2 linked regions of the Yarrowia lipolytica genome follow. The protein of the gene in region 1 purifies or fractionates together with the protein of each later gene. This does not show direct contact. Links are inferred from orthologs where the notes say so. Each region holds a gene or a part of one and is shown in the gene's direction. Other genes may lie near its edges. The genes, in order: YALI1_C33005g and YALI1_D09420g.

What was found.
Region 2: the proteins of YALI1_C33005g (region 1) and YALI1_D09420g purify together in Saccharomyces cerevisiae (affinity purification with mass spectrometry, with the first as the bait; 3 studies listed by BioGRID). This does not show direct contact. The link is inferred for Yarrowia lipolytica from reciprocal best matches to the Saccharomyces cerevisiae genes CPA2 and CPA1.

Annotation. Positions count from the first base shown.
Region 1 is NC_090772.1:3,294,442-3,310,459, forward strand, and holds YALI1_C33005g (uncharacterized protein), read left to right. Parts: upstream 1-6,106; coding exon 6,107-9,508; downstream 9,509-16,018. Other genes in the region: YALI1_C32921g (uncharacterized protein), read left to right, coding at 1-1,638; YALI1_C32972g (uncharacterized protein), read right to left, coding at 1,972-2,835; YALI1_C32975g (uncharacterized protein), read left to right, coding at 3,082-3,960; YALI1_C33055g (uncharacterized protein), read left to right, coding at 11,089-12,309; YALI1_C33071g (uncharacterized protein), read left to right, coding at 12,711-13,958; YALI1_C33086g (uncharacterized protein), read left to right, coding at 14,203-14,514; YALI1_C33098g (uncharacterized protein), read right to left, coding at 14,781-15,386; YALI1_C33100g (uncharacterized protein), read left to right, coding at 15,565-15,719, 15,778-16,018. UniProt on the Saccharomyces cerevisiae protein: Large subunit of the arginine-specific carbamoyl phosphate synthase (CPSase).
Region 2 is NC_090773.1:934,525-948,655, forward strand, and holds YALI1_D09420g (uncharacterized protein), read left to right. Parts: upstream 1-7,544; coding exon 7,545-8,891; downstream 8,892-14,131. Other genes in the region: YALI1_D09356g (uncharacterized protein), read left to right, coding at 1,113-3,407; YALI1_D09382g (uncharacterized protein), read left to right, coding at 3,729-4,208; YALI1_D09404g (uncharacterized protein), read right to left, coding at 5,003-5,938; YALI1_D09417g (uncharacterized protein), read right to left, coding at 6,739-7,254; YALI1_D09453g (uncharacterized protein), read right to left, coding at 9,149-10,810; YALI1_D09488g (uncharacterized protein), read right to left, coding at 13,479-14,131. UniProt on the Saccharomyces cerevisiae protein: Small subunit of the arginine-specific carbamoyl phosphate synthase (CPSase).

The DNA of each region.
Region 1 (16,018 bases):
CCTCCCCCTGTTTCTTTTGGCGGACAACCCCAGACCCAACCCAAGATGGACGATTTCGACGAGGCTTTCAGCCAGATGGACGCTTCACCCTCGCAGGCTCCTTCTCAGGCTCCCTCCGACACCCCCATCTCGTCTGTTCAGTCTGATTTCAATGAGTACCAACCTGAGGCTGCAGGTTTCACTCTGCCTCTCGCACGACCACATTCTTCCACCTCTTCTGTCCAGAACAACGCTCCTCTGTCCGTTCGAGGCGAGAACTTTAGCCGACCCGACTCTCCTGTGTCCAACATCACCCGTCTGAGCGACTCCACTGCCCCCATTCCCTTTGAAGGTTCTCGAGAGCACGATGAGGTGGTTAAGACAGCTAACTCTGGTCTGACCGGTGATACTATCGAAGCTCATGCTTCGCACCCCAGCATCGCCTCCAAGGAGACTGTTTCTGAGCCTCAGAAGCCGGACGTTGATGGATTGACCGCTCAGTTCAAGAGCACTGAGCCTTTCCCTGAACAGCCCTTTGTCCAGCCTTTTGGTTCCAACCCCGCTTCTCAGCCTGCTCCTTTCAACCCCCCTGCCCAGTTCACTAGCGAGCAGCCTCACCCCGAGACCAACGCTGCGCTCGAGCAGTTCACCGACAAGGCCGTTTCGGACCAGCCCGAGTTTGAGAAGGCCGCCGAGCCCTTCCCCGACCAGCCGTTTGCCCAGCCTTTTGGCCCTAACCCTACGCAGCTGGAGGAGGACTCTGGCAACGAGTCATTCGAGTTTGTGTCTGCTGACGAGAACGAGCACTCTATCAACGAGATGCCCCGTCGAGACAAGGGCAAGGCTGTGGTTGACGACGACTCTTCTGACGATGACGAGCTGGAGGAGATTGGGGTCAACCGGTACAAAAACTACCAGCCCAAGGAGGTGCACCATGACGATACTACGTCGGACGTGGTTACTCCCCAGCACGAGATTACTCAGCCTACTTTTGCCCCTGCTGTTGACACTGCTCCTGGTCACTTCCCCGACCAGACTGCTGTTCACGATACTGCCCCTGGTCATTTCCCTGAGCCAGCTGCCGCCCCAGCCTCTTCTCAGGGCTTTGCTGCTCCCACACAAGCATACCCCTCTGCTGCCGAGGAGAAGGCTGCTGCTGCTGCTGCGTCCAACAATGACAAGGAGCTGCCCCCCAACCCACCCACATATGACGAGAGCGAAGGCCCCGGCTCTCCTCATCATGGTGGCTCCACTAACGGCTTCTTCGGTAACCAGCATGCGCCTGCTGCATCTGCTAACGACGACTTTGACGACGCGTTTGCCGATCTTGAGGACACCAACGTGGAGGCCAACAACTCGATGGACCAGTCGCAGTACAGCACCGACTTTAACAATGCGTTTGACGACATGAACCAGGCTCCTGCGCCCGCTAATCCTCCTGGAAACGACGAGTGGGAGCAGATCTTCGCCGGTATGTCTTCCGGCCCTGCTCCAGTCAGTGCTCCCTCTGCTGCTCCCGTTAGAGCATCTTCTCCTCGATCTCGAGCTGTTCAGGAGCTGACCGGAATGGGTTTCTCTGAGGAGAAGGCCAAGCGGGCGCTGCAGAAGCACAAATACAACGTTGCCGAGGCCACTAATTACCTTTTGGACCAGAGCTGATCTCTTTTTATGATGATATGTAAGTAATTCATTAATGTTTAAATGTATTATGTGATTATAAAAAATGCAGTACTTTCACCGTAGCGAGTAGTGATGATGGTGGAATTTACTGTAGACTACAACTACGGTATGTACTCATACAATACTTTAAGTAGCTACCTGTAGCTTCTGGTTGCACGGCATGGACCACATTCTGTGAGACTGTGACCTTTATGGTCAGATAGTCCAATAATGCCGTATCTGCCGCTTCTATGTTACGTTTTGAAGCTGTACGTCATCTGTTGTTGCTAAACGTGGAACAAATAAATAATCTATTAGTACAGTTCACCCCTCCTATAATGCCTTCCAACTTTCGTACAGTTCTGCCCGCTCAGGCATCTCCTGAGTAGCAGCTGTGGCCTTTGAAATATCCGATGTCACCTTGTGCAACTTGTCGAGCGATGTATGGACTTGGTCGTTGTTTTCCTTGATCTTTTGTCGGTATTCATCATTCTCCTTCTTGACTGTCTGTGCCAGCTGTTTGAGCTTTTTGATTCGTGCGAGTTTAGTTTCCCGTAGATGGCTCTTGATGATTTGATCTGGCGTCAGTCTATCGACATGGATAGGCAGATCTGTGTTTGAATTCATTCTGAGTCTGGCGTCTTTGACCAATTGATCCAACTGGGCCAGTTTCTCCGGGAGATGTCGTTCATCGAAGATCGCGTCGAATTCCGTTTGTACTGAGTCCGTCCACGCCTTGCAGATCTGCTTAAGGGCTTCTCTGAGTGCCTCCTGACCAGCAGGAGTCTTTGCAATGCTTGGATAACACGCCGCCACTCGTTTGTAAGTGAGCGACTTGACTGCATGGGCCAGTGCTGTGGACGAGGATGTGACTAAACGTCTGTAACGTGCTGATTGGGGGATTGCACGTGTATTGGCTGTTGTGGTTGTTTGTCCCTCGGTCGCTTTTGTTGTTTGTGTTTCGTTCACTGTTGTTATTCGTCCTTCGCTCGTCGCTTGTGATTCACTGGCTTGTGTCTGCCTCTGTCCCTCCCCTGTGTGTGTCTTCATGGATGTCGCTTCCACTTCAGCTACACTTATCTCCATGGTTTCTGGGTCAGGTGTTGATGTAGACAGTGTCTCGGATTTCTGCGTCTCAGTCTCCTGAACAGATTGTGTCTTTTTCGTGTGTTGTGTCCCGTCTTTTTCCATGTCCATATCCTTCTCCGTGTCTTGTTGTTTTGACGTGTTTTATATCTGCCGCGTTTTATTTACCAGCCTTGCACAATCTGACGCGTTGCATTGAGCGACTTAATGTGCAACCCCACGACTCGAACCCCCAACGCCAAATGCTGTACAGTAGCTTCTTTCATCTCCAACCCAAACCCTGCCCCCGTGCAGTTAGCGTCTGTATGACGTACATACAAACCTCCACACCTAGATCGATCACCCCCATACCACGCAATGTCAGACGTCACCGCTCTCATTGCTAGAGCCGATAAAAAGATGACCTCCTCCGGAGGCATGTTCTCATTCATGAGCGGCGGCTCCTCGACCCGATTCGAAGAAGCAGCAGACCTCTACACCGAGGCCGCAAACCAGTACAAGTTACAGCGTAACGGAAAGCTTGCTGGAGAGTGCTTTGAGAAGGCTGCTGACGCACAACTACAGTCCGAGAGCAAGGACGAGGCCGCCAACTCGCTGCTCGAGGCTTACAAATCATACCGGTCCAACTCACCCCAGGAGGCCGCCAAGTGTCTGGAGAAGGCCATTCAGTTCTTCACTACACGTGGTCAGTTCCGACGAGGTGCCAATTACAAGATGGAGCTGGGAGAGCTGTACGAGAAGGAGCTGGAGGACATTCCCAAGGCCATGGAGGCCTACACAGATGCCGGAGACTGGTTTTCCGAGGACCGAGCAGAGACTCTATCTTCCAAGGCATACCTCAAGGTGGCGGAACTGTCTGCCGAGAACGACGATCTGTTCAAGGCCATTGAAATGTTCGAGATGGTTGCCCGACGAAACCTCAATTCCAACATCATGAAGTGGTCGCTCAAGGAGTATTTGTTCAAGGCTGGCCTGTGTCGAATTGCTGCGGATCCTGTTGCTTGTGGGGGCCCCATCAACGCTTACCTGGAGTGGGATCCTGCCTTTGGCCAGTCCCGAGAGTATGGTCTGCTGGTGGATATTTGTGAGGCTGTCAGCAACCAGAACCCCCAGCTGTTTGCTGATAAGGTGTACGACTTTGACCAATTCAGCAAGCTCGACAAATGGAAGACCAACCTGCTGCTCAAGATCAAGAACGCCATTACCGAGCAGGAGGACGATGAGGGACTGTTGTAGAGGTCCAAATTTAAAGTAATATTATTGTTTATACTGATGGTCGTGTGACAGAGTGAGAGAATACAGGTACTACGCAAGGACACGCAGAAGCGGATTGAACCACACGTTTCAGTCGCTTATTCCAGATCATCGCCATTATATGTCTTGTCAGCTGGTAATATGCCATGCGTGGCTAGGGCTTTCTTTGACCCTTTCATCTCTAAGAGTCCATTGGCGCATCTCAGAGTCCATTGACGCGTCTCAAACATTTTATATTACCAATTGAAACGCTCAAGGTACTCTCATGGTAACTAGGACATGATTATGATCAATCTGATATATTGAAAGTACCCATAACCTTCCTTACAAGTACTTGTAATATATATCCAACTTGTACAGTAGTCTTGTGATTCTGGCTTGAACCAACTTCATATCCCATGAACCGAACCCTACACTCATTAAGATTCTGGCTGCCTCGGCATGAGGGGTCATTGGCGACTCTCAATGTGCTCAAGTGGGTCTTTGGTCGTGTGGCTGGAGGGAAAAAAGGGTTCCGACCCACATCTAGGCGTACATTTACACTTGTACAAGTACAAGTACTGTACTGTACTTGTAGTTAACTGGTCAAAAGTGCGACTTCGTGAAGCTCCGTATTACGATTCCTAAATTGGATATGTATGTTGGAGGCTTGTACATTCTTGTACAGTAGACAGAAGGGGATGACATGAAATAAGGGACAAGAATGTCTAAACCATCATAACCGGACGACCACAAGTAAACCCTACCAAAGACCATCAATAACAGCAGCATATCTTGCAACAGCTCTTGGAAGGTGTGACTTGAGAGTGTCACACCAATTTAACTAAATCTAACTAAATCCCTAACCTACTAATAACTAACGTTAATAAGCACCAGACCTCATTCAAACTCTGTTTCGTATCGGATGAGTCCAACGTTCAGGGACCAAAACAAGCAAATGGGCAGGTGGTGGAAAAGAACGAGATTGGACCCAAATCAGGTCTCCCCAAAAAACAAAAACAAAAAAAACGCCAGCAAAGAAGAGCAATCTAATGTGCATTGACCAACATGAAACACTCCCTGCGCAAATAGTCATCTCACATAAGCCGCACCTGTGACTATTTGGACACTTTCACCTGGTGGCTCATTTTAGCTCTGCAAAATTTCCATATGCATGGTGCAAGCTACTTCTACTCATGCCTAACGTGTAGCTGGGGATTGTACTTGCCAGATGCTCCAGATGGGTCTAAAACTGCCCGCTCCTTCTTCTTACGACAAGTAGATTGCTAGCTCCTGGGAACAACCCGCCGCTCCGACAGCCTACATACACATACGTGGCGGGGGTGCATCGAACCGGGGTAGTACGCAGTTGAGCTGTATCGGGAGAGTCCAGCATATAGGAGAGTAACAACTGCTTCTTCTGGGGGGGAGTGCAAGTGAGGATCTGTCAATAACACATTCCATGACCCTGTTGAAGCATTCCCACTCTCTCTTATGCCCCACTTCTCGTATCTGATCGCCTCTTAAAGTTCAATGTGTTGCCGAGAATCCTTGATTACTGGAAGAGAAGCACTTCAACAGAGCTTAGATCACGTAGGAATCATTGTCTCCACGCATCATGAAAATGACGCGAGTACAGTACTGTACTCGTGTATAAAATTTCCGGATTCCGGCCCTTCTTTCCCACTATCGTACTTGGACCACCGCAAACATATTTTAGTCACAGTGCATGGGCCTCGCTCACCAGCCGACAAGACTGACGCTCCTCCAAAAACATACTCTGAGTCATAGGTCTATCCTTATCTCTGATAGCAGCGAATGGGTGTGGGAGAGTCAAATACCGTTCTAGCTGGAGTCTATAATCAACGAGGCTGACGGGTCCGACTGGTGGATTTCGAGGTGTAGAATCGACTGGCCGGGTAAAAATAATCTCTTCCCCCTTGTAGATGGGTGTATGCACATTTTTTCCCATTGGAAACTGCTGCTCGCTTTTTCCTTCCCCAGGCCCAAGTGTCCCGATTATTCCGTCTGCACGAATTTTAAGCTCGGGGTACAAGTAAAAGATTTTGATTTGGAGAGTTGAAAAAAAAATAAAGGTACTTTAACTTGCACCTCGCACCTTCACACATCACCAACTACCATCCCGACAATGATAGCGCGATCGCTGTTGCGACTGGCCAAGCCGCAATTGCGAGCTGGCATTGCCGTGCGAACCAAATTGACACAGTTCCCCGTGCGAAAATACACAACCACCCCCGAGTATGCCGGAGCTGGAATCCTGTCCCAGGTGGCTGACAAGGAGCTTGTCGATGTCTCCAAGGTTCTGGTCATTGGTTCTGGAGGTCTGTCTATTGGTCAGGCCGGAGAGTTCGATTACTCCGGATCTCAGGCCATCAAGGCTCTTCGAGAGGAGGGCAAGCAGTCCATTCTCATTAACCCCAACATTGCGACCAACCAGACCTCGCATTTCCTTGCCGACGAAATCTACTACCTGCCTGTTACCCCCGAGTACATTATCCACATCATTGAGCGAGAGCAGCCCGACGGAATTCTGCTGACCTTTGGAGGCCAGACCGGACTCAACGTCGGAGTCCAGCTGAACAAGATGGGCGTGTTTGACCGATACAATGTCAAGGTTCTTGGAACCCCCATCAAGACCCTGGAGACCTCCGAGGACCGAGACCTGTTTGCTAAGGCCCTTAGGGAGATTGATATCCCCACCGCCGAGTCCATTGCTGTTGAAAACGTTGACGACGCCCTCAAGGCCGCCGAGTCCGTTGGTTACCCCATTATTGTCCGATCCGCCTACGCCCTTGGAGGTCTGGGTTCCGGTTTTGCTAACAACGAGGACGAGCTCCGAAACCTCGCTGCGCAGTCTCTGTCTCTTGCCCCCCAGATTCTCGTTGAGAAATCCCTGAAGGGCTGGAAGGAGGTTGAGTACGAGGTTGTCCGAGACCGAAACAACAACTGTATCACTGTCTGCAACATGGAGAACTTTGACCCTCTTGGAATCCACACTGGTGACTCTATTGTCGTTGCTCCCTCTCAGACTCTGTCCGACGAGGAGTACCACATGCTCCGATCCGCTGCCATCAAGATTATTCGACATCTCGGCGTTGTTGGTGAGTGTAACGTCCAATACGCTCTCCAGCCCGACGGACTCGACTACCGAGTCATTGAGGTCAACGCCCGTCTCTCCCGATCTTCTGCCCTGGCTTCCAAGGCCACTGGTTACCCTCTCGCTTACACTGCTGCCAAGATTGCCCTTGGTTACACCCTTCCTGAGCTCCCCAACGCCGTGACTAAGACTACTTCCGCCAACTTCGAGCCCTCTCTTGACTACATGGTCACTAAGATCCCCCGATGGGATCTGGCCAAGTTCTCCAATGTCAAGCGAGACATTGGCTCTTCCATGAAGTCTGTCGGTGAGGTTATGGCTATTGGCAGAACCTTTGAGGAGTCTTTCCAGAAGGCCATTCGACAGGTTGATCCTTCTTTTGTCGGCTTCCAGGGCCACCCCGATTTCGCCAACAACAAGGAGTTCCTCGAGGATACTCTTGCTAACCCCACCGACCGACGATGGCTCGCTGTGGGCCAGGCTCTGCTCCACGAGAACTACACCGTTGACCAGGTTCACGATCTCACCAAGATTGACAAGTGGTTCCTCTACAAGCTCATGAACCTCGTTGAGATGCAGCGAGAGCTTGAGTCCCACAAGTCTCTTAACGGCCTCAACCAGGACATTCTGCAGCGAGCTAAGAAGCTCGGATTCTCCGATAAGCAGATTGCTCTTGCTGTTGGTTCTGATGAGATGTCTGTTCGAGCCCGACGAAAGTCCTTCGGTATCACTCCCTTCGTTAAGCGAATTGATACCCTTGCTGCCGAGTTCCCTGCCGATACCAACTACCTGTACACCACCTACAACGCGTCTTCACACGACATTGACTTCAACGAGCATGGTACTCTGGTGCTTGGTTCCGGCGTCTACCGAATCGGTTCTTCCGTTGAGTTTGACTGGTGCGCTGTTTCTACCGTCCGAGCTCTCCGAGAGGCTGGCAAGAAGACCATCATGATCAACTACAACCCCGAGACCGTGTCCACTGACTTCGATGAGGTCGACCGACTGTACTTTGAGGAGCTTTCTTTTGAGCGAACCATGGATATCTACGAGCTCGAGCACGCCCAGGGTGTTGTGGTCTCTGTTGGTGGCCAGCTGCCCCAGAACATCGCCCTCACTCTCCAGGAGCAGGGCGCCAACGTTCTCGGAACCGACCCTCTGTCCATCGACAAGGCCGAGGACCGACACAAGTTCTCTTCCATTCTCGATTCCATTGGAGTTGACCAGCCCGACTGGTCCGAGCTGACCTCCGTCGCTGAGGCCAAGGAGTTCGCCGACAAGGTCTCCTACCCCGTTCTGGTCCGACCCTCTTACGTTCTGTCCGGTGCCGCTATGTCCGTCATCTACAACGAGTCTGAGCTCGAGCACAAGCTGAACAACGCCTCTGCCGTCTCTCCCGACCACCCCGTCGTCATCACCAAGTTCATTGAGAACGCCCACGAGATTGATGTTGATGCTGTTGCCTCCAACGGTAAGATGCTGGTTCACGCCATCTCTGAGCACATTGAGAACGCCGGTATCCACTCCGGTGACGCCTCTCTGGTCCTCCCTCCCCAGGATCTCGATGACAAGACCATGGCCCGTCTTAAGGAGATTGCCGAGAAGGTTGCCGCTGCTTGGGAGATTTCCGGTCCTTACAACATGCAGATCATCATGGTCCCCAACGGCACCGACGAGCCTGCCCTCAAGGTCATTGAGTGCAACATCCGAGCCTCTCGATCCTTCCCCTTCGTCTCTAAGGTTCTCGGCGTCAACTTCATCGAGGTTGCCACCAAGGCCCTTATGCAGGAGAACGTCCCTGCCCCCGTTGATCTTATGAAGATTGACCGACCCTACGTTGCCACCAAGGTCCCCCAGTTTTCCTTCACCCGACTTGCTGGTGCCGACCCCTACCTCGGTGTCGAGATGGCCTCCACTGGTGAGGTTGCCTGTTTCGGTGCTGACAAGCTCGAGGCCTACTGGACCTCTATCCAGTCCACCATGGGCTTCAAGGTCCCCCAGCCCCCCTGTGGTGTCCTGCTCGGCGGTGATCTGACCCCCCAGCTCATTGAGATTGCCAAGAACTCCGCCAACACTGGCTACAAGCTCTACTGCGCCTCTCCCGAGCTGGCCCAGATCCTCACCGAGGCCACCTCCACCAACGTCTCCACCATTGAGTTCCCCAAGACTGACAAGCGAGCTCTGCGGGAGATTTTCCAGAAGTACGACATCCAGTGCGTCTACAACCTGACTCGATCTCGAGCCGAATCTCTGCTTGACGAGAACTACGTCATGCGACGAAACGCCATTGACTTTGCCATTCCTCTGTTCAACGAGCCCCAGACTGCCAAGCTCATGTCCGAGTGTCTGCTCACCCGAATCAACAAGAAGACCGGTGAGATTCCTCCCGAGGTTCGACGATGGTCCGAGTTTATTGGCGGCAAACCCGTGTAAATACGATGAATTATTAATTGCCTTTGATTTAGAGCGTGTGAGTTGTAGAGTAGACAATATGTGTAGACGACTGAAAACATGCTACTGAAATTAGCTGTACGGACAAATACTGTACATACTGTTGCTCAATAACAGCTACTGGACAGTTACCATTCACTGTCGGCTAGAAGACAGCTTAGGCACCGCAAGATAGCTCGCGCACGTGAGACAAAGTGCAAGACAGAGCCACTCAACGCAGGCACAGGCACAACTGAGCCCCACCGCAATCAACCACAAACAACCCATGGTACTCCAAGTTTGAGTAGCTCCGTATTACAGCGCCTAGTGATCGCCAAGTTAATTATCGCTGAACTCTGGACAAAGATGAAACAGCACAAAGACCCCACAATGAGAGGTGTTCCTGTGCCGTGCATATATACAGCCTACTTTGTCTTAGCTTTTCGACTAATCATCTTGTGATTTCGATCCAGCAGCAGGTGGCAGGTGTGTAGAACATACTACAGTACAGTACGTACAATTGTAAGTGGACCAGTCAAGTTATGGATACAGCGCTGAGCTGACTGGTCAAGTAATTGGAATACATATATCCCACCTTGGTAGCTTACAAGTACCGGTACTTGTACATCTCTCCATGGAAACACTATCCCCCGAATCCAAGGCTCTGGTCAAGCAAATCATCACCTTTCTTCAAGAGAAAGAAGGGTACGTGAAACACGACTTACCGGACATAGCCGAGACTACAAGTAGCGCGCCACGTTCAACGGCAGCCCCACGTCAGTCAAATCTAACTGTCTTTGGCCCAATCACACAGGCTGAATATTACACACAGCGGCTGGTTCAAGCTGCATCTTTGGGTTTACGCAATGTTCAGGCACAAAAAAGATTGTCTCGCTAAAATTGTCCTTTAGCAGTGGTGGAGGAGAGCCGTGGATGAACCAAACCATCGACTTTGACAGCTTGTGGGCCGCTATAAGTAGTTGATAATACAGTAATGGATATGAGTGTGAAAAAGATGTGTATTCCATTGTGTGATGTGACCTGTAGACGCAATAACCACCCTGCTATACAACGTCAATGTGTAGTTTGCACCACAATAGCTATCACTCGCTCTTCACCGTTGAAAATCCCCCTGACTAGATTCCCTGACAGATGCCCACCTTGGGCCCTGGATGTTATGCAGCTTGCGTGCAGCGTCCCACTGACCAGATGTAATTAGACGCACCTGCAGACACACTGTACTGCTTTCTGTTATCATTGGCTGATAAGGCACTGTGTGGTTTTTGGAGCGACGATAACGGACCAAGGAGGCACATAAAACACTAGAAATCAAGCGGTAACAATGACAATGTCACTCCACAAGCATCATCAAACACACTGCTTTTTCATTCCTCCACCATCATAATCCCCTTGTGTACACTCCAATTGCCTCTCGAGGAACACTATCACACTCTATCTCCTCCGAACCCAAACTCAATCCTACGCGCCGTCTGCGACGTGAACATCGACACACAACACCATATATAGCACCGCCACATTCCTTTGCAAAGAACCACTACAGGAAAGAAAACACACAGATAGACATGCAGTTCTCTCTTGCCACCATCGCTACCGTGGCTGCCGCCGTCTCGGCCCTCGTTTGTCCCTACACAAAGCGAGATGCTGTGGCCGCCTTCACCTCGCCCCCTCTCTCTTCTGCTGACCACAAGAGCTGTCCTGCTGACACTCCTGTATCATGCTCCTCTGGCGCCGGCTCTGCCGACCTCTGCTGTACCGAGTCCCCTGGCGGTGTGCTCGTCTTGACCCAGTTCTGGGACTGGACCCCTGCTATTGGCCCCGATGACCTCTTCACCCTGCACGGTCTGTGGCCCGATAACTGTGACGGATCGTACGCACAGTTCTGCGACAAGAGCATGGAGGTGCAGTCAGTGGCCGCCGTTCTGCAGCAGCTCGGAGAGACCGAGCTCCTCGACAAGATGAACAAGATCTGGATCCCCAACCGAGGCTCCACCGACTCCTTCTGGACCCACGAGTGGAACAAGCACGCCACCTGCATGTCCACCCTTAAGGACAAGTGCTACAGCTCCGATGCTCCGCAGTATCAGTCCCTTGCCGACTGGGCCCACACCGTTGTCAACGTGTTTGAGACCGTCAACACCTACAAGTTCCTCGAGGCCGCTGGAATCACCCCCGACTCCTCCAAGACCTATGCCAAGACTGACTTCCTCAACGCCCTCAACTCAAACTTTGATGGTAAGCAGGTTCACATCTCGTGCAAGTCTGGCTACATCTCTGAAGTTTGGTACTACTTCCACCTCAAGGGCTCTGTTGTGTCCGGCCAGTACCTCCCCATTGACGACATTGGATCCTCCAGCTGCCCCGACCAGATCAAGTTCCCTCCCAAGGACGGATCTGGCGGAACTCCTCCTCCCACCGACCCCTCCGATCCTCCCACCGGCGGCTCCAAGGGCTTCATCAACATCTCCGGCCAATCTGGATGCCTCATCTCCAATGGTAACTGGTACACGTCCGGTACTTGTGCCACCTACACCCTTGGCGAGTCCCAATACGGCGGTGTCACTCTTACCTCTTCCAAGGGCCCCTGCGATGTTGTTAACGGCAAGTTCTCTTGTGCTTCTGGCAACAACGCTGGCCAGTTCACTCAGGACGGCAGCAACATTGTCTACGGCGGAAAGTCCGACTGGTCTGCTCCCTCAGTACCCTCTGGCTCCCAGCAGGTTGGCGTTTCTCCTGGTTCCGCCGGAGGTTCCGTTTCCTTCAACCTTGTCTTTGCCGCTAAGTAGGTGACCTAGACACGTATATTATACAGTACATAACTTATTAGACTCATTGAACATTGGAAATAGATTTGAGAGAGCGCTAACGGCTGGCTACACACATATTCCCAGCCACTGGTCTGTATCGTGTGTGTAGCATGTCTAGTTCTAAGACAAATAATGATAATAATATCGTCACGCGACCATATCTACGAGTAGCTTAACTTTGGAAAAATCAGATGTGTGTAGAGAGAACCATGGTGGTTACTTATCTGACAAGTGTTTGTTCACATATATATAAATTGCTGACTCAGGTACGAGTAGTTTTCTACCCTCCTTTACGCCGCCACCAGATAAGCTTCTTATCGTGCAGAAAGAATCGAGATTTTTCAGCTGGCTAGGATCAAGTCAGTTAAACACACAACACAATGATTCGGAATATACGACCATCGATACGCAACACAAACCGGCTATATGTGCAAATACGCACACTTACATCCACGCCTCTCTATGTTCAGGAGACCCACATGCCCGAGGCTGACAAACAGTCTCTTGAGTACGCCGACCAAGTGTTCAAGAAAGGCAAGTTGCAACGGTGGTGGACAGCCTTCTCCTTTGACCAGATTCCCACTGCTCCCGTTGATGAGAAGAAACGCACCAAGGGCGACGACTGGGCGATGATCGACGAGCTGCGTGAGGAGGAGGACTTTGAGGTGGGCTCAGACGAGTACGATGCTCTGGAAGCCGCCTCCAACGCCAACACCCGGATGATCAAGGCCAATATCCCCACTAACCAGAATCTCAAAAAAGTACACAAGAACGAGATTTTCCCAGAAATAGTGTTTATGGGCCACACAAACGCGGGCAAGTCCACCTTGGTCCAGCACGTCTTGGCGTGGGGTCGACCCGACGTTCCACAGTCGCACCTACACTCCCCCACGTCCAAGAAGGGCCACAAGGGCTCGTTGAGCAACTCAATCAACTCTGCTTTTCCTGTGATATCCAAAAAACACGGTTTCACCAAGTCCTTCAACTGCTATGGTCTCACCATTCCAAACTCTGGAGGCAACCAGATCAGACTGGTGGACATTCCCGGCTACGGCTACAAGTCGCTCAAGGACCAAGGCGCGGTAGTGGAGCAGTATTTGGAAAGACGAACTAACCTGCGAATGGCCATTCTTGTAATTGACGCAACCAGGGGCATTCAGGACGAGGACAAGTACATGCTCTCGACGCTCAACAAGTACGGAGTCACCTGGCAGGTGGTGCTCACAAAGAGCGACATGCTTGTGGGAGGAGACAAGAAACTCGAGGCACTGGGCCGCGAAATGTGGTTGGCTGCTAATCCTCCTAAAAGTGGAAGCCAAATGGTCAAACTGACAAAGCCCCAAAAGGAAAAGTGGGCACGACGGGCGCTATTAGCCGAGACTTCAATCCAGACACAGCTAGGTAAAATTTTGGTGCAGGTGAAGAAAATGGACACTCCTGAGTGCCCGTCCAAGGCCCTAGAGCGGGTCATTGCTGTCAGCAATAGCCCCAAAATGCTGCAGGGATACAAGCATGATTTTGGCGGAAGTGGCATTAGTGTTGTACGAAACGCCATTCTACAGATCTGCGGCATGGGCTTCCACGAGCAGAAAATGTGGAAGGAGATGGCCAAGTATGGCATGTCTTGAGGACGTTCTCATTTCTGAGGAGGAGTGCTTTTAGCCTCCAATTGACAAATAGGAAGACAGACACGTTCTCATCCCCACTAGACTGTCTTCCCCCGCACTAGCTGATGGAGCAATGTAATTGAAGCCACTGCTACAAGTAGCAAAGCTAGTGAGCTCGTGCAAAAAAGCAACAGCTCTGTATATAAGTATTAATATTTTCCGCCCCAGAGTCCCCTTTCTCTCGCAAATCATCTCTTATATCGCAATGCCCGAACCGACTTACCCCAAAATGGCCTATTGGATTGAGTGGTTTGTGGGAACCGCCTCCAACGTGGGCTTCCCTCCGACCACAGTGCTCAACGAGGCCACGGGCTTGGAGTTGACCACTCTGGAATGGTCCAAGAAATTGGCGACTGCGGCGACCACAGTTTTCAAGCGAGATGTGGATTACGTGCGAGAATACATGGTCTCCAACATCAAGGCGTACCTGACGAGCGAGGGAGCTGCGTCGACCGACTCATCGTCTGCCGCACTAATCTCCGATATCTCCGAAACCAAGGAACTGCCGGGTAACTGAACTTCTCAAGTCCAACTACAGACCAACTTTTTGGGGTGTGAATTTTTTGCAACCTTATTTGAAAATTTGAAAATTTGAAAATTTATCAAAAGTCGATATTGATTACGATCTGTGAGAAGTGTCTGTGGCAGTAAGTGTATAACTTTTACTAGGTATAATACAATCAATAAAATAAAGAGTACATGCGATGGGCCCAGAGTGGGGATTTGGAAATCTCACCCCAGACTTTGTGTAAGTGGCTAATTGATGCTGATATCAGACAGACCTTAGTAACCTCCTCGGCCACCTCGTCCACCGCCGAATCCACCACGGCCTCCACCTCGGCCTCCAAATCCGCCTCGTCCACCTCGGGGAGCTCCAAAGCCACCTCGTCCGCCTCGGGGAGCACCTCCGAAGCCTCCTCGAGCACCGCCTCGGCCACCAAAGCCTCCTCGAGCACCTCCACGGCCACCAAAGCCGCCTCGAGCACCGCCTCGAGCACCACCTCGTCCTCCAGCAGCCTTGGGCTTCTTAACGCCGGTGGCCTTGGGCTTGGGCAGGAATCGCTCCAGCGGCAGCAGCTTGTCTCCGCCAATGTAAAACTTGTCACCAGACTTGAAAGAAGCGGCCTGGAAGCCCTCGGAGGGCTTGATAGTGAACATGACATCGTTCATGGGGCCAAGAATCTCGTCGACCTTGCCGACCTGGGTCTTGTTCTCAAGGTAAATGGGGGCGTTGAAGTAGGGGATCTTCTCATTGATGGACTTGCAGACGATATCGCCCTCGCAAGCGTGCAGAAAGGCACCCATCTCAAACACCTGATCGGGAGGGCCCATCTGCATGGGTGCGCCGGTTCGGCCACCTCGGAATCCGCCTCGTCCTCTGAAGCTCATTTTTGTGTGATGTTTGTAGTAGAGGTTGTGATGAGTTCACTGTAAGGTCAAAAAGTTGTATGCACCTACTAATTTTTTCCCATTAACTTTTCTGCCCTAGCCCTGCTCATGCAGTGTACTATCCATGTTGTAGGGTAGTGCTTGTTGACTAAGCCATCACCTCTGTGACGACAATAAAATGGCCCTATCGACAGACCTGCTCAAGATCTCGCCTCTAGCAGCGCTGCTCAACAAGGATAACGTGTCGATAAACTCAGTCTATCAATTCATCGAGAAGAACGGCTTCAATGATCGCGACCTGCATACCCTAGAGTCTCTGAATGGACTAGAGAAGTGAGTATAGAGAGATGCACAGACACAGAAACACCGCTAGAACTCCTTACTAACCCAGATTATGGCCAGTTTACAACAAGAAACAGGCCAACACAAATGCCATTGTCGTGGCACTCCTTGTTCTTGCCAAGGCCAATGACGGATTCGATCTATGGACGGTGTTCGAGAAGAGCCCCGAAAATTTTGGCCATTTTTACAAAACGGTACTCAATCTCGTGGCCGGAGACAAGCCAACACGGATCCAGAAAGTGCGAACCAAACTACTGCGGTTTCTGACCGTTTCTTTCCAGTGGCTTGAC
Region 2 (14,131 bases), on another chromosome or scaffold:
ACACCGTGCCAAAGCAGTATCTGTCTCATCTAGATTGATCTTGCGGCTTAATTGAGATAGTCTGTGAGACCTGGAGGCCACTTCGGACGCCTCACAAAAGAAATGCACCCGGGCATGTACTGATTTAAGCCAGATAATGCGAGGAACACATGTCTGAGAAGACGCCAGACAAGAACAAAGATCCGCGGACGATTGCTAGACAAGAACCACGACGGCGGTAAGCGCCATTGTCGACGTTCGTATTGGTTGATGGGCGACACACATCTCGGTAGATTCGGTCACCGTTGTTCTTTTCAGCACCAATTGAATGCCCGTCAAAGACCCAACCTCCCACAAACCGCGCAGCCAACTCCAATCGCTTATGTAATCATATCACGTGCACCTCCTTAGTCATCGGACAGGTGCCCCGTTCCATCTCGCTGTGTATATTCCATTGAATATAGACAGGCATAGATGGTACAATTACAATCAATTGTGCATAAACGTTTGAAATTTCCAAATAGGAAGCTGATGAAAAATACTGCTGAGATGTTTCTTGAAAATTGCCCCAGGTAGATCTAGACGAGAATCATCCTATTGCAACTACCAAATCTTTCTTCCAGATCCATTCACCAATCTGTCACAGGCTTCAAAATTTGTCAAAATAAGCTTAAGGTTCCAGCTAAAATCACGTGACGAAATTCCCGGACCTTTCAATTTATTAAAAATGACCAAATCTCAAATTTGAAAACATCATTCGACTCTCCTAAACCCCAAACTTGCAATGGTGTATTTATTTTTTTCTCATCATGTCTCTATCCTCCTCAAACGTTCTTCTCCGAATGTACCCTCCGGAACCTTAAATGGAGTTTCAGATCAACCAATACGGAGACAAGTATAGGACATGTGTAGGGCGATTTGGTGACAGACGAAAAAGAGGGTGGCATTCTGGTGGGCCGTCCGTCATCTGTGTGATTACTAATATCACGTGACTTGGCCCCTCCGTTCCCTTTCGCTTTCTCTGTGGATAAACCCTCAAAGTCGGTTTTTGCCCGCCGTGAAAAATTTAAAATTTCTGCAGTGATATTTGGGTCTGTAATCACTTGGTTTTCATCTCTGCACTACCACACAAAATGATCCGAAGTCTCAGGGCCGTGAGTCGGCTGGGAGCCCGAGGGTTCTCGTCGTTCGCTGCTGCTCGTCAGGAAAACACGACTGTTGGAACCACGTACCAGGAGGAGCTGGACGTGGTGAACCAGCTCAAGGGGTCTGTGACCGCCGACGATGTGACGCGTCTGGCTCGAATGCGAAACATTGGTATCAGTGCGCACATTGATTCCGGAAAGACCACCTTTTCCGAGCGAATTCTCTTTTACACTGGCCGAACCAAGGAGATTCACGAGGTTCGGGGAAAGGACGGAGTGGGAGCCAAGATGGACCACATGGATCTGGAGCGAGAGAAGGGTATCACCATCCAGTCTGCCGCCACCTACGCCACCTGGATTAAGGAGAACCAGGACTACCATTTCAACGTGATTGATACCCCCGGCCATATTGATTTCACCATTGAGGTTGAGCGAGCTCTGCGAGTACTCGATGGTGCTGTGCTTGTTGTCTGTGCTGTGTCTGGAGTTCAGTCCCAGACCATGACTGTGGACCGACAGATGCGACGATACAATGTTCCCCGAGTCACCTTCATCAACAAGATGGACCGAATGGGCGCCGATCCCTGGAAGGCCATTGACCAGATTAACGCCAAGCTGAAGACCCGAGCTGCTGCCATCCAGGTGCCCATTGGCTCCGAGGGTGATCTCGCCGGTGTTGTGGACATTGTCAAGGAGGTTGCCTACTACAATGACGGTGCCTCCGGAGAGACTATTCGAGTTGCCGAGATTCCCGAGGACCTCAAGGAGCTTGTTGCCGAGAAGCGAGACCTGCTGATCCAGACTCTTGCCGATGTTGATGACGAGATTGCCGAGTGCTACATTCTCGAGGAGACTCCCACCGAGGAGCAACTTCGAGGAGCCATTCGACGTGCCACCATTGCCCGAACCTTCACTCCCGTGCTCATGGGCTCTGCTCTGGCCAACCGAGGAGTCCAGCCCGTTCTCGATGCCATCTGTGAGTACCTTCCCGACCCCTCCGACGTTGTCAACACCGCTCTTGATATCAAGAAAGACGAGACTCCCGTGCACCTGACCCCTGCTGCCAAGGCTCCCTTTGTCGGCCTCGCTTTCAAGCTCGAAGATGGCAAGTACGGTCAGCTGACCTACCTGCGAGTCTACCAGGGCCAGCTCAAGAAGGGCATGTCGATCATCAACGCCAAGACCGGAAAGAAGACCAAGCTGGCCCGACTGGTGCGAATGCACTCCGACGAAATGGAGGACGTTGACTCTGTTGGTGCCGGAGAGATCTGTGCCACATTCGGTGTCGACTGTGCCTCTGGTGACACATTCACCGACGGAGAAGTCACCTACTCCATGTCTTCCATGTTTGTTCCCGATCCCGTTATCTCTCTGGCCATCACCCCTAAGGACAAGGGCTCTCTTACCAACTTCTCCAAGGCCATGAACCGGTTCCAGAAGGAGGACCCTACTTTCCGAGTCCACTTTGACGCCGAGTCCAAGGAGACCATCATCTCCGGAATGGGCGAGCTGCATCTCGAAATCTACGTCGAGCGAATGAAGCGAGAGTACAACGTTGTGTGCGAGACCGGTAAGCCCCAGGTCGCCTACCGAGAGACCATCACCACTGCCGCTCCCCTTGATTTCACCCACAAGCGACAGTCTGGTGGTGCCGGTCAGTACGCCCGAATCATTGGTGAGATGTCTCCTGTCACCGACATGAATGCTGTCAACGAGGGCAAGGCCACCTTTGCCGCCGAGAACATTTTCAAGTCCGAGATTGTCGGAGGTAAGATTCCCGAGAAGTTCATTCTGGCCTGTGACCGATCGTTCCACGAGACTGCTGAGAAGGGTCCCCTGACCGGCTCCCGAGTTCTGGGTGTCGAGATGCTCATCAACGATGGTAACACCCACGTTGTCGACTCTTCCGAGCTGGCCTTCAAGGTTGCTACCCAGAGAGGTTTCTACGAGACCTTCATGCAGTGTTCTCCCGTGATTCTGGAGCCCATCATGACCGTCACTCTGACTGCACCTGTCGAGTTCCAGGGAGCTCTCATTGCTCTGATGAACAAGAACCAGGCGCTGATTTCCGACCAGGATATCGGCTCCGAGGAGGTGACTCTGTCTGGAGAATGCTCCCTCAACCAGATGTTTGGCTTTGCCACCCATCTTCGAGCCTGCACCCAGGGTAAGGGAGAGTTCTCTCTGGAGTTCTCTCACTACGCCCCTTGCTCTCCTCATCTGCAGAAGGAGCTGGTGGATGCCCACCAGAAGAAGCTGCAGGCCGAGCGAGATGGTAAATAGTTTGTATATATTGATTAACTGAAGTAACAGCACGAACAGCGGAGCATATGGTGCGGAACTGTGAGCAAATCGTGGGCACCTGCGAGTACATCGAGCACCAGCTAAGAGAACATTAACACTCTCGTATCAAGCTAAGGTGATACTGCCAAGTGATTGTTTGCGGACTCAAGTAGCTACATTCGTAGATGAGCAAGGTGATTGGGGTACAGTGCTCCTGTATGTACAAAAACGCAATGGTACAAGCAATCAGAACAGTGTGCCATCATTTGAGATGTTTCCTTAGATATATTGAATGTACTTTTGCATGAGAGATGAAACCCGATGGCTTCTATGTGTCTTATGGTCTTTTTGCTGTCGAGAAATGGGTTGTATATGCTACTTCTTGCCAGGATGACTTTTACGATCATGCTAAGAAAAGTACGAGCATTTGCTCTCATTAGCAACTTGAGTGTACTTGCACTCATACGCGCCTACTGTTACTCCTTGTACCGCCATCCACATACAAGCGATTGTCGTTCACAGCACTTAATGTCGTTCACAACACTCTTCACCATACAGACCCACACCGTGTTGATGGAGGTCTTTGAATTGGTCCAGGCCCCGTCAGTGTCTCCAGGACACAATGTCAAGGAACTGCGGTTCAAGCCTCTCGGTCCCAACAAGAGGTGGTTGAATCGGCCGACAGGTTCTTGGCCAAACGCAACTTGGAGACGAATTAAAAGTTCCTCCAAAGTGCGGAAGAGGATGACGAGTATGACGCCGACTAAGAGGGGAAGAAGAAGCTTGAGATGGCACCCTTAATGCGTTCGGCGCGACTTCTCGCTGGAGATAACACAGCCATCTTTACCAAGATGCACTAGCCGGAAGCTGAGGAAGAAGACCATGATGCAAAGCCTTGATTTTGAGATTTCGGCCCCACTCATACGCTCCTTTCAATCGACATTGAGACCAAACTACCCTCGGGCCATATTGGTATTGTCAACAAAACTCTCCAGCCTCCTGGCATGTTGCAAACCGTGCCTTCGGTCAACTGGTATAGGGCTGCTTGTAGAGATACCCCTATCTCAGTTGTAAGGGTCCACTCTCACTTGCCATTCCAACTGATGACTCCGGTGGCTAAGATTTTGCCAAATACGAAGTTCCAGTTCTTGTCCCGGGTAGCAATACAAAATACATCCTCTCCAGAGAGTTCGCAGACAATCGACAGGGACACGGGTTTGAGATTGGCATTCATAAGTCTCTCCGCATTGGCAGACTTTGGAGAACCACGTCGAAATAATCACCTACTCTGTGATTGACGCCCTTGAAACTGGCCAATGACAGTTGCAACGCCAGACGGGTTGTCTACAGAGGTCGGGGAGGATCTGCAACACACTCTGTTCTCATTGTCGAGGGCTGGAGCAAAGATGGGGAGATCGGAAGCGCACTTTCCAGGGTTTTCCGAAGGTCGACTCGGCGATTGGCTTGTTACCAGTCCAGTACAAGTACACGCGGTATCCTTTTAGTAATGCTATTATAATATACTATACAATGCGATTCTTGTCAATGGCGTAGCGTGCACAGCGATTGTACTACAGTCAAGGACATGTCTCTTTTTAACCCTGTTGCTCCTTCTTTTCATCCTCTCTAACAACAACATAATCCGTGCTCAGGTCTCCGAAACTAAGCACGTCTTTTGGCAGCACCTGGACATAGCGGCTGGTGGGAATCTGTTTATCGTTGATGAAGGTGCCGTTAGTGCTGTCGAGATCAATGACGTAGAGGTTCGTCTGGAACGACGTTTCACCCTCGTCATTCACGTTTTCAATTTTGCGAAACTGCAAAGCAGCATGCACCTTTGAGCACGACAGTTCATGGAGAGGCACGTCGTTGAGCTGCGAGTCTCTTCCAAACCGATAGAAGCCCCGTTTGTCGAGCACCAGCTTCTCGATCGGGTCGTCCTGGCCAGGCTCAAACAGAAACAGATTGAACGGGTTGCTCTGTGGCGGCTCTCCAGCATCCACGGGCTCCGAGTATGTGATATCCCTGACTTCCACTGATGCAAGCTCGTCCTTCTTCTTGTCTTGTCCTCCTCCACTCAAGACGCCCGACTCAAAGTTGGGCACGTCCTTCTTCTCCTCCTCCTCGTCCGAATCGTCATCACTGAACTCCCGAGCATGGCGCTTTTGAACAGGCGACTTCTCCCTGACGTCCCATCGAGGCCGTCTTTCTCGGTCTCTGTTACGAGACTCGCGTTCTCGATCCCGGTTGTCTCGTTCGCGATTGCGTCGCGCATTTCGATCGCGGTCTAGACTGTCGTTTCGGTCACTGCGGTCTCTGTATCGTCTTCCTCCTCTTCGGTCGTCTCTGTCTCTGTCGCCTCCTCTGTCTCTGTCTCGTCTGTCGTCTCGGAGATCGTCTCTATCACCTCTTCGATCGTCTCTATCACCTCTTCGATCGTCCCTATCACCTCTCCGATCGTCCCTCCTGTCATCTCGACGATCTCGGCGCCGATATGAGTCCCGCGAGTTATCTCTTCTTCGAGGTGGCATGGTTGTAGTGGATGTATTCGTGGTGGTGTAAATTTCAGAGATTATGCAGACTACTGAACCAGGAATGCTAAGTGGAAAGTCAAGTGTACAGCATAAAGTTTGTTTATCACCTAAGAAAAAATCGAAGGAGGTGTAACTGGTCCTGTGAGCCAATCACAACTATGAAACTCGAAATTTAACATAATTGACCTGGTTTAAATCTCTCTACAGTTTTGTTAGTTGATTCATTGTCTTTTATCAACGTCTTGAAGGACCCACATTGTCGAGGTACAGTGAACCTTATTCGAATTGAGGGCTGAAATTTGCAACATAATCGTCATCTGTTCACTTCTGATAGTGATCATAACCTGATCCAAACCTGCTTCGAACCTGATCCCACTCGCTAATCCGACAACAACCCACCCATTTCCCTCACGTGACCATACACGTGACCACCCCACCCACATCTTCCATGACTAATTGGAGCTGCGCATACTGCGCCAGAAATGGCAAGTGAAAGCAGACATCTCCAGTCCTAGGCACCCAAACGACCCCCGCAAATGACTAACTCTGCATGGCACCCACCGGGGGAAGTGATCCGGCTAGTTGTGTCGGTAAATAACGAGTGGATGTGCTATTTGCGCGTCTCAGTAGCGCCATGACAAAGTTCGGCGTGCGTTGGGTTGGGACAAAATTTCAATATATATTTTTCCGAGCTCCGCTTCTCACCTCTTACACATCTTCTCAAACCCCATTGACCAAACACCGCTAGCTGCCAGCTTGGTATATATGCGTGTTTCTTCCCATTCAACCAGCCAGGATTATCTTTGTGGTGAGTACGAGAAATTGAGGAGTGCTTTTGTGGCTTTTGGCGGCGACTGTGGCTGCGAGGGGGGAGGCTCCATGAGCAGCTCTGTGGCGTTGTTCATGTCATGTGACGTGGCACTGCGGAATGGACCACAATGCGTGAGTGAGCATGGAGGGATACGACTGTTCAGCTGTCGCCCGCGTACAGCCTTTTTTTTTTGTGGGTAGCGACTGGGCCTGTCGTTGACTGGTTGTTCGGTATCTCCCATTCGAACTCTACTATGAGTCAAGCGGTCCCAGTCAATCGTCGTCAAACTCAATTGCCAAACTATGAGACAGCCTAAGATAAGCCTTGGGCAATCATAATGGGGCAAACAAGTGGAAGACGAGGAGCAGAAGACGACACGACAAGTTTGAGAGATGAAACCGCGTCGTCTCATCACCGCCCTTCCTCCACAGCTTGGCGCGATTAAGTTCCGCCGAGTCCTTCCGGTGATCCCGAGTCTTCCGACTAAGCTTTGCGCCCACATGTGAAGCTGGTTTTTTTTTTCATCGACATTTTAGACTTTCACTTATCGGTGAATCAGAGAGCGACGGGAAGAAAAAAAAGTGCACACACAACATTTCTCCTGTTCACCACAAACACAAGTCACAAACACCCCACAAACAAAAGCACACTACGCATCCTGCATTGCCGTCTGCACACACTGTACAGCAACTAACCCAGACCATATTTGGAAGTGCAGCACCCACTAATTTGACTCTACTGTCGTTCTAAATCTCTTACCCCCACGCACCACCGTACAACAACCTCTACAACATGTTCAAGAACATTGCTCGATTGGCCTCCATGGCCCGATCGGCCCCTCGAACCACCGCGTCCTTCCAGACCCGATTCATGGCCACTACCGCCTCCGGCACTGCCTCTGCCTCTGCCACCCCGGCCACCTTCACTCTGCAGAACGGCCCCGTCTTCACCGGCCGATCTTTTGGAGCCAACCGAGTCGTGTCCGGCGAGGCCGTCTTCTCCACTGGTATGGTCGGCTACCCCGAGTCCATGACCGACCCCTCGTACAGAGGTCAGATTCTGGTCTTCACCCAGCCTCTGATCGGTAATTACGGAGTACCCTCCGGCAAGGAGACCGACCCCTTTGGTCTCATCAAGTACTTTGAGTCCCCCCACATCCAGTGCATTGGCATCGTCGTCGCTGACGCCGCCCTCAAGTACTCGCACTGGACCGCCGTCGAGTCCCTTGGCGAGTGGTGCAAGCGAGAGGGAGTCGCTGCCATCTCTGGCGTCGACACCCGAGCCATCGTCACCTACCTTCGAGAGCAGGGCTCGTCCCTGGGCCGAATCACCGTTGGCGAGGAGTACGACGCCGAGGAGGACGCCGCCTTCGTCGACCCCGGCGAGATCAACCTCGTGCGACGAGTGTCCACCAAGCAGCCCTTCCACGTGTCTGCCGCTGCCGACGTTGAGAACCCCCTGCACATTGCCGTCATCGACTGTGGTGTCAAGGAGAACATTCTGCGATCTCTTGTCTCTCGAGGTGCCTCCATCACCGTCTTCCCCTACGAATACCCCATCAACGACATTGCCCACCACTTTGATGGTATCTTCATCTCTAACGGCCCCGGTGACCCCACTCACTGCCAGCAGACCGTGCTCAACCTGCGAGACATTATGTACGAGAAGCCCGAGCTCTCCGAGCTGCCCATCTTCGGTATCTGTCTCGGCCACCAGCTGCTGGCTCTGGCTGCCGGCGCCAAGACCGTCAAGCTCAAGTACGGTAACCGAGCTCACAACATCCCCGCTCTGGATCTGACCACCGGCCAGTGCCACATCACTTCCCAGAACCACGGATACGCCGTTGACGTCAACACCCTGCCTGCCGAGTTCAAGCCCTACTTTATCAACCTCAACGACCAGTCCAACGAGGGTATGATCCACACCGAGAAGCCCATCTTCTCCACCCAGTTCCATCCCGAGGCCAAGGGCGGTCCTCTCGATACTTCCATTCTGTTTGACAAGTACCTTGGCCAGGTGCACCAGTACCGAGCTGCCCGAAAGTCCGGTGTTGACACCCGGCCTAACAAGCTGCTGGTCGATCTGCTTCCCAAGCAGCGAATTGGCGTTGAGATTGACGCCTGGGATTACGTTCAGTAAGCCTGCTTGCGGGCATAGCGAGTGAACGGAGACCGCTGCATGCAGTTGGTGTGTATCAACCGCTGCGTGACAAAAAAAGAATAACGTTGACCATATAAAATAATAGGCATGATTGATAAAGATGTAGCGGTGTAACGCGTGTTTAGCGCGTGCGTGAAGTTAATGAACAGAGTACTACGTGCTACGTTCTGATCAAGAGTTCTTTGTCGCTTCGCACATTCCACAGCTCTTGGTGGATAATCAATTACAATAAATAATCAAGCAAACCGCTCGGGCCACCTTTTCGCCTCGAGGTATCTGAATATCGGGTAGCTGATACAAACAAAGAAGGTGATAGCTTCAAGACCCAGATCAGCTCCATAGGCACCAACATGTTTGGCGATTGGGCCTTGGAAGTAGACCTGAGACATACCCAGAACGGCTCCTGTGGCTCCCAGAAGAAAGGAGCAGAAGGCCGCGATTCCGTGGGGCAGTCTCTCGGGCGAGTCCCACAGGTACCATCTGTAGTAGGGGTCGTTTTCGTCCTCATGTCCGGGTTCCACGGGCAGCTTCTTTCGTCGGAAGAGGATCTGTTCCAGCAGAATGAGCAGAAAGAAGATGTGGGCCCAGTAGCCGATCATGGGCAGAAAGTTGTTGAGGTACTCGGACAGCTTGTATCGTCCTCCCATGGAACATCCAAAGTAGATACAGCAACAGATGAACGACCAGAACCACCGGGGGACTCTCATGACGGCTCGTCCCCAGGTTTGGATGGATAGTGCAAAGGAGTAAGTGTTGAGGATGTTGTTGCAGATGATGGAAATGAAGAGAAGAACGACGAGGAACTTTCCTCCGCCCTTCCATTTGGCAAATCCAGCGGTGATGAGTCCTCCGTTGCCCCACTTGTCGTGGATAGCGGCCCATTCCGTGTTGGTATTAACTCCAGTGGACAGAAGAGTGCCCAGAACACCTACAAAGGCCGAGGGAATGAAGATGGACAGCCAGGTGACGGTGACAATCTTCCAGTTTTTGACCGACGGTGAGTATTGGGCGTAGTAGTCTGCTGCCAAAGGCATCCAGGTGTTTGTGATTCCGAAGCAGGCAGCAAAGTTGGACAGCCAGTTGCCGGCAATGGTTAGATGGGTGCCCTGGCTCTTGGCGTGCACGTCGTAATAGCTGTGGGAACAGACGTAGAGCAGCAGGAAGACCACGTTGAGTGGGATCGCAAACACCTTTTCGAACCACATGACTGCTCGGACTCCAAATACGGCCGTGAAGAAAGAGACGACGGTGACAATGGTGATACCGACCTCTAGGGGCACTTTTCCATCACTCACGGAGCCCAGAACTTGTCCTCCGACCACGCAGTTGACAATTGACCATCCCAGGCCTCCAATGATGGACAGCAGGGCAAACACCTTGGTGGGCCACCAGCCGGCAAAGATTCGGGCTCCCACAAGCTGTCTGAGTCCCGAACGGGGTCCGAAAGTAGCTCCATAGGCTGCCACTCCGGATCCCAGAAACACACCGAGTAGACCGGACACCAGGGAGTCCTTCAGAGACAGTCCAAAGGCCAGGGGACCAAGCATCATGCCCTGCATGGATGTCAGACCTCCGCAGGCACAGATCCAAAACAGCGAGATGTCGATAAACGCCTTGGTATCGGCCTTCTTTCGTTCATCCAGAGGGATACGCTGGATACCCCGGAGCTCCACACCTAGAGAGTCGACCTTAGACGAGTAGTAGATGAACTTCTCGAACCATGTGTCTCTGGGCAGCGAGTGTACAGACACATCTGGAGAAGGCTTTTCGTCGTCATAGAGATGGGATTCGGGGAACTGGGGACGGATAGAAGAGTCTAGGGAGCTGGCGGACACGGGTCTGGTAGAACCCGACTCCACAAAAGTGGAGATATCGTTTTTGTCGTGGTAGTGACTCATGGCTCGCTTGAATGACTCGCAAGACTCGAGCACTCGCTCCTCTCCACTCTTTATACATGACTCAAAATATCAGGGTAACAGGCATGGCCATGCGCAAGGTTTGAGTCAATTGAGTCAAACTGTGGCTAACTGGCTGGAGTTAGTCTGAAGTTTTGCATATTGAAAAAAAGGGTGGCTACGGAAAGGGGAGTTGAAAAGTTGGTGAAGGAGGAGTTTGGAAGCGAGGAGAGTTGGAAAATCAACTTTTCAGACTCGGTCCTCCACGACTCCACCTCTTTTTTATCCTCAGCAGCTCCAATATACGACATATGTTCATCCTCCTTCAGCCGCCCCCTCAGTCTGAAACTGACTCTCATAGTCCAAACCTTGAAAGCATAACGATAAGAGAAAAATTACCGTCCAGATGAAAAGAAAAGAAATTAACGCCGTATTTGGCTAGTGCAAGTATCGTAGGCGAGCGCCGTTTTCTACGGGGACCGTCCTTGACCGGTCGTTGGCCGGTCGTTGGCCAGTCTTGTGTCTGTATCAATCACTACCGCTCCAGCCAGAACCGAATCGCCGTATGCAGCCAAGCGCCGCCAAGATCGTATCGTCTGACCCGTGCGAGACAAGGGAGTCACGGAGACAAGGGAAAAGAGTGGGAAAATTTTTGTAGGCGAAACGAAACGGCATATCTTGATACGATCCGGGATGACTCAAATGACTCAACAGGTGCAGATGGCGGAAGCTAACTTGGGAGTTAGCTACTAGTAGGCAAAGGCGTTGTTCTCAGGTGGATCCAAGACACTGCTAAGAGATCAATCTGTACTTATATCTTGGTTGCTATGGTGAGATGGGGCTCTACGAGTAGTGTACAAAGGATACCTTTCGTTGGTGACCTCTGTATGATTGCATTATGTGAACAGGTAGCTTGTGCATCCTCCTGCCTTCTTCCGTACGAGTACTTTTACAGTACCAAACACTTGAGTCGTATAACCAATAGCAACGCTCAAAGTTACTGTACAAGAAGTACTGTCAAACAAGTAAACTGACGTTAATTTGTGTACCGTTGGCAACTTAGCTACCAGTAGCCAAGTTATCCTTAGTCCATGGAACTCTGTGGAATTGCCGATGTGAGGCTATCCCAGGCTGTACCTGTTTTAGTTCTTGTGAAGAGGGATCGGGGCGAAATTTGCAGATATCAACTGTGCAACTGCCTGTAGAGATTACAGTAGTGTGTGTATCTGTCATCTATTATTAGTTGAGCCCGATATTACCGACCGTTGTCACAGAAGTTGCTCTCTCTGCATTCATGGTTGTGTCGATAAAGTTGACCATGGATACTGAAGTCCACGATATTGGTTTCATGGCGGGTATTGAAGCGGTTAGCGCCTCGCAGGTTCGGTATTGAGAGACTTTGACAATGCCGTATGATCTGAGGCACTCAGCGACTTCAGAATGTCGCTTTCTAAGCTCCTCTGAAGCTACTACCTCGAGAAGAGTTCTGGTCCGGCCTATGAGCAAGGAGGCGGTCAGTTGAGACAAGAAACAACCAATTATGATGCTCACTGATCACGTGGAATACTCTGAGCACATGCAACCCCTGCTGAATGACTCAACATGACTCGAAATGACTCAACATGACTTCCATGCTTAACTTACGCTCCCGCGATCCATGCGATCCAGAAACGGCAATCCAACCCTGTTGAAGACAAAGAAGAGCGGAGTAGCTGCTGGATTCGTTTTGGCGAAGTTCATGGGCTTCTAGTGTTTGTGTTCGCTCTTCGAGAGCCCTCTCAAGTCTTCCTCGTGAATGAGAATGCCACCACCAGGCAGCTACAATTATTGCTCTCCCCGGCACCTTTACCAGTGCTAACTAATACCAGCTACTTATCCTAAACGAAGTCTCTGTTCTTTCGATGACGTCCTCTGAACCTTTCATATGAACGTCTCGAAGCAATACCAGTCCACGCCTGTTGGATATACACAGGGTTAACGATGAACAGAGACTGAGAAGGAAACAAAAGAGGATGAGGCAGGGAAAAGCAATCGAGTCGAAACCACAAGCCAGTGGTAGAAATCTCAAAAATATTCTGCAATATTTGTTAATAATGGTATAATGTCTCTGTGGAGTCTGCTGAGCTTGCTGTAGTATGTGAGTGTCTCCAAGTTGTCATTACGCGGTAAATGTTTAGTTGTGGAGTTCAGAAACCCCATTCCATAGTCACTAGAGAACCATTGGTCAACTTCTCGTGGTCAGGAAAATATAACAGCATCTTCTATATCTCAACTTGTCATCAGCATGACTGTGCCTATACTATATAGCTGTTCGTACTCTAACGTGACCCGTAATGTTGGTTTGTCGGGTGTACTTGTAATGCTACAAGTAGTTTTATCATTCATCTAACCACACACCACTCCACCAACTGCTTCCATCACAACTGCACCTTCATTGTATATCTGATCCTCCTTCGATCAGTCTCTCGATGCACGCACTACTATCCAGCACAACTGTGTGCAGAGACTTGGGGAGCCCTATGAACCCCAATGACGTAAATGGTTCTTGTCCGTTCGTGACCTGCGGTCACTCACTTGCGTCACGTTTCTATATGGTACATTATGTAGCTAGTGAGTCATAATGTGACAGAGTCTACTGTCAGATTGTAAATTGTTGGTAGTGAGTCGGTGCTCACCACTGTAATGGCAACCAGCCATAGTCCCATGCTCGTTTAACCACCTCGGTGCTGTCGTACAGCTCGATGAATTGCTGGTCCAGAGGCCGGGCCTTGGGATAGGCAAAGCGGCGGTACTCGTCAAAGATCATGGTGAGACTCCAGTCCTGTAAGCGGCGAATGCAGCCTGAAAGACAGCCTGTTCTGTGTTTGCCCCGGTTGCAGTGGATGAGTAATGGGTGGTTTGCGGGGTTAATGGCAATCTCCAGGGCCCGAGTAATGACGTCGTGAGGCACGTGGACAAACGGCTCCTTGTTTCCGGACATGCCGACCTGGAAGAACTGGATGTTGTTTTCCTTCATGAACTGCAGGTTTTCATCGGGGTAGATTTCCGGAATAAGCACGAGAATGCTCTTGAGCTTGAGCCGCTTGAGATATTCAAAGTTCTCGGGCCGCGGGAACGACGACCGGTATATTTGGCCCACCACAATTGAGAAGTTTTCGGGCACCTCCCAACCCCCGTCTGGCGGCGTCATCAGTTTCATTGCCGGCAGCGTGACTCCGGTTTTTTGCTGGGTGATTCGCACGGGCTGATTTGCCTGGTGGAGAGCTCGCTGCACCTTTTGCAGTTCAGACACGTCCTGGTCGTCCACGGAGCCTTCGGCCACGT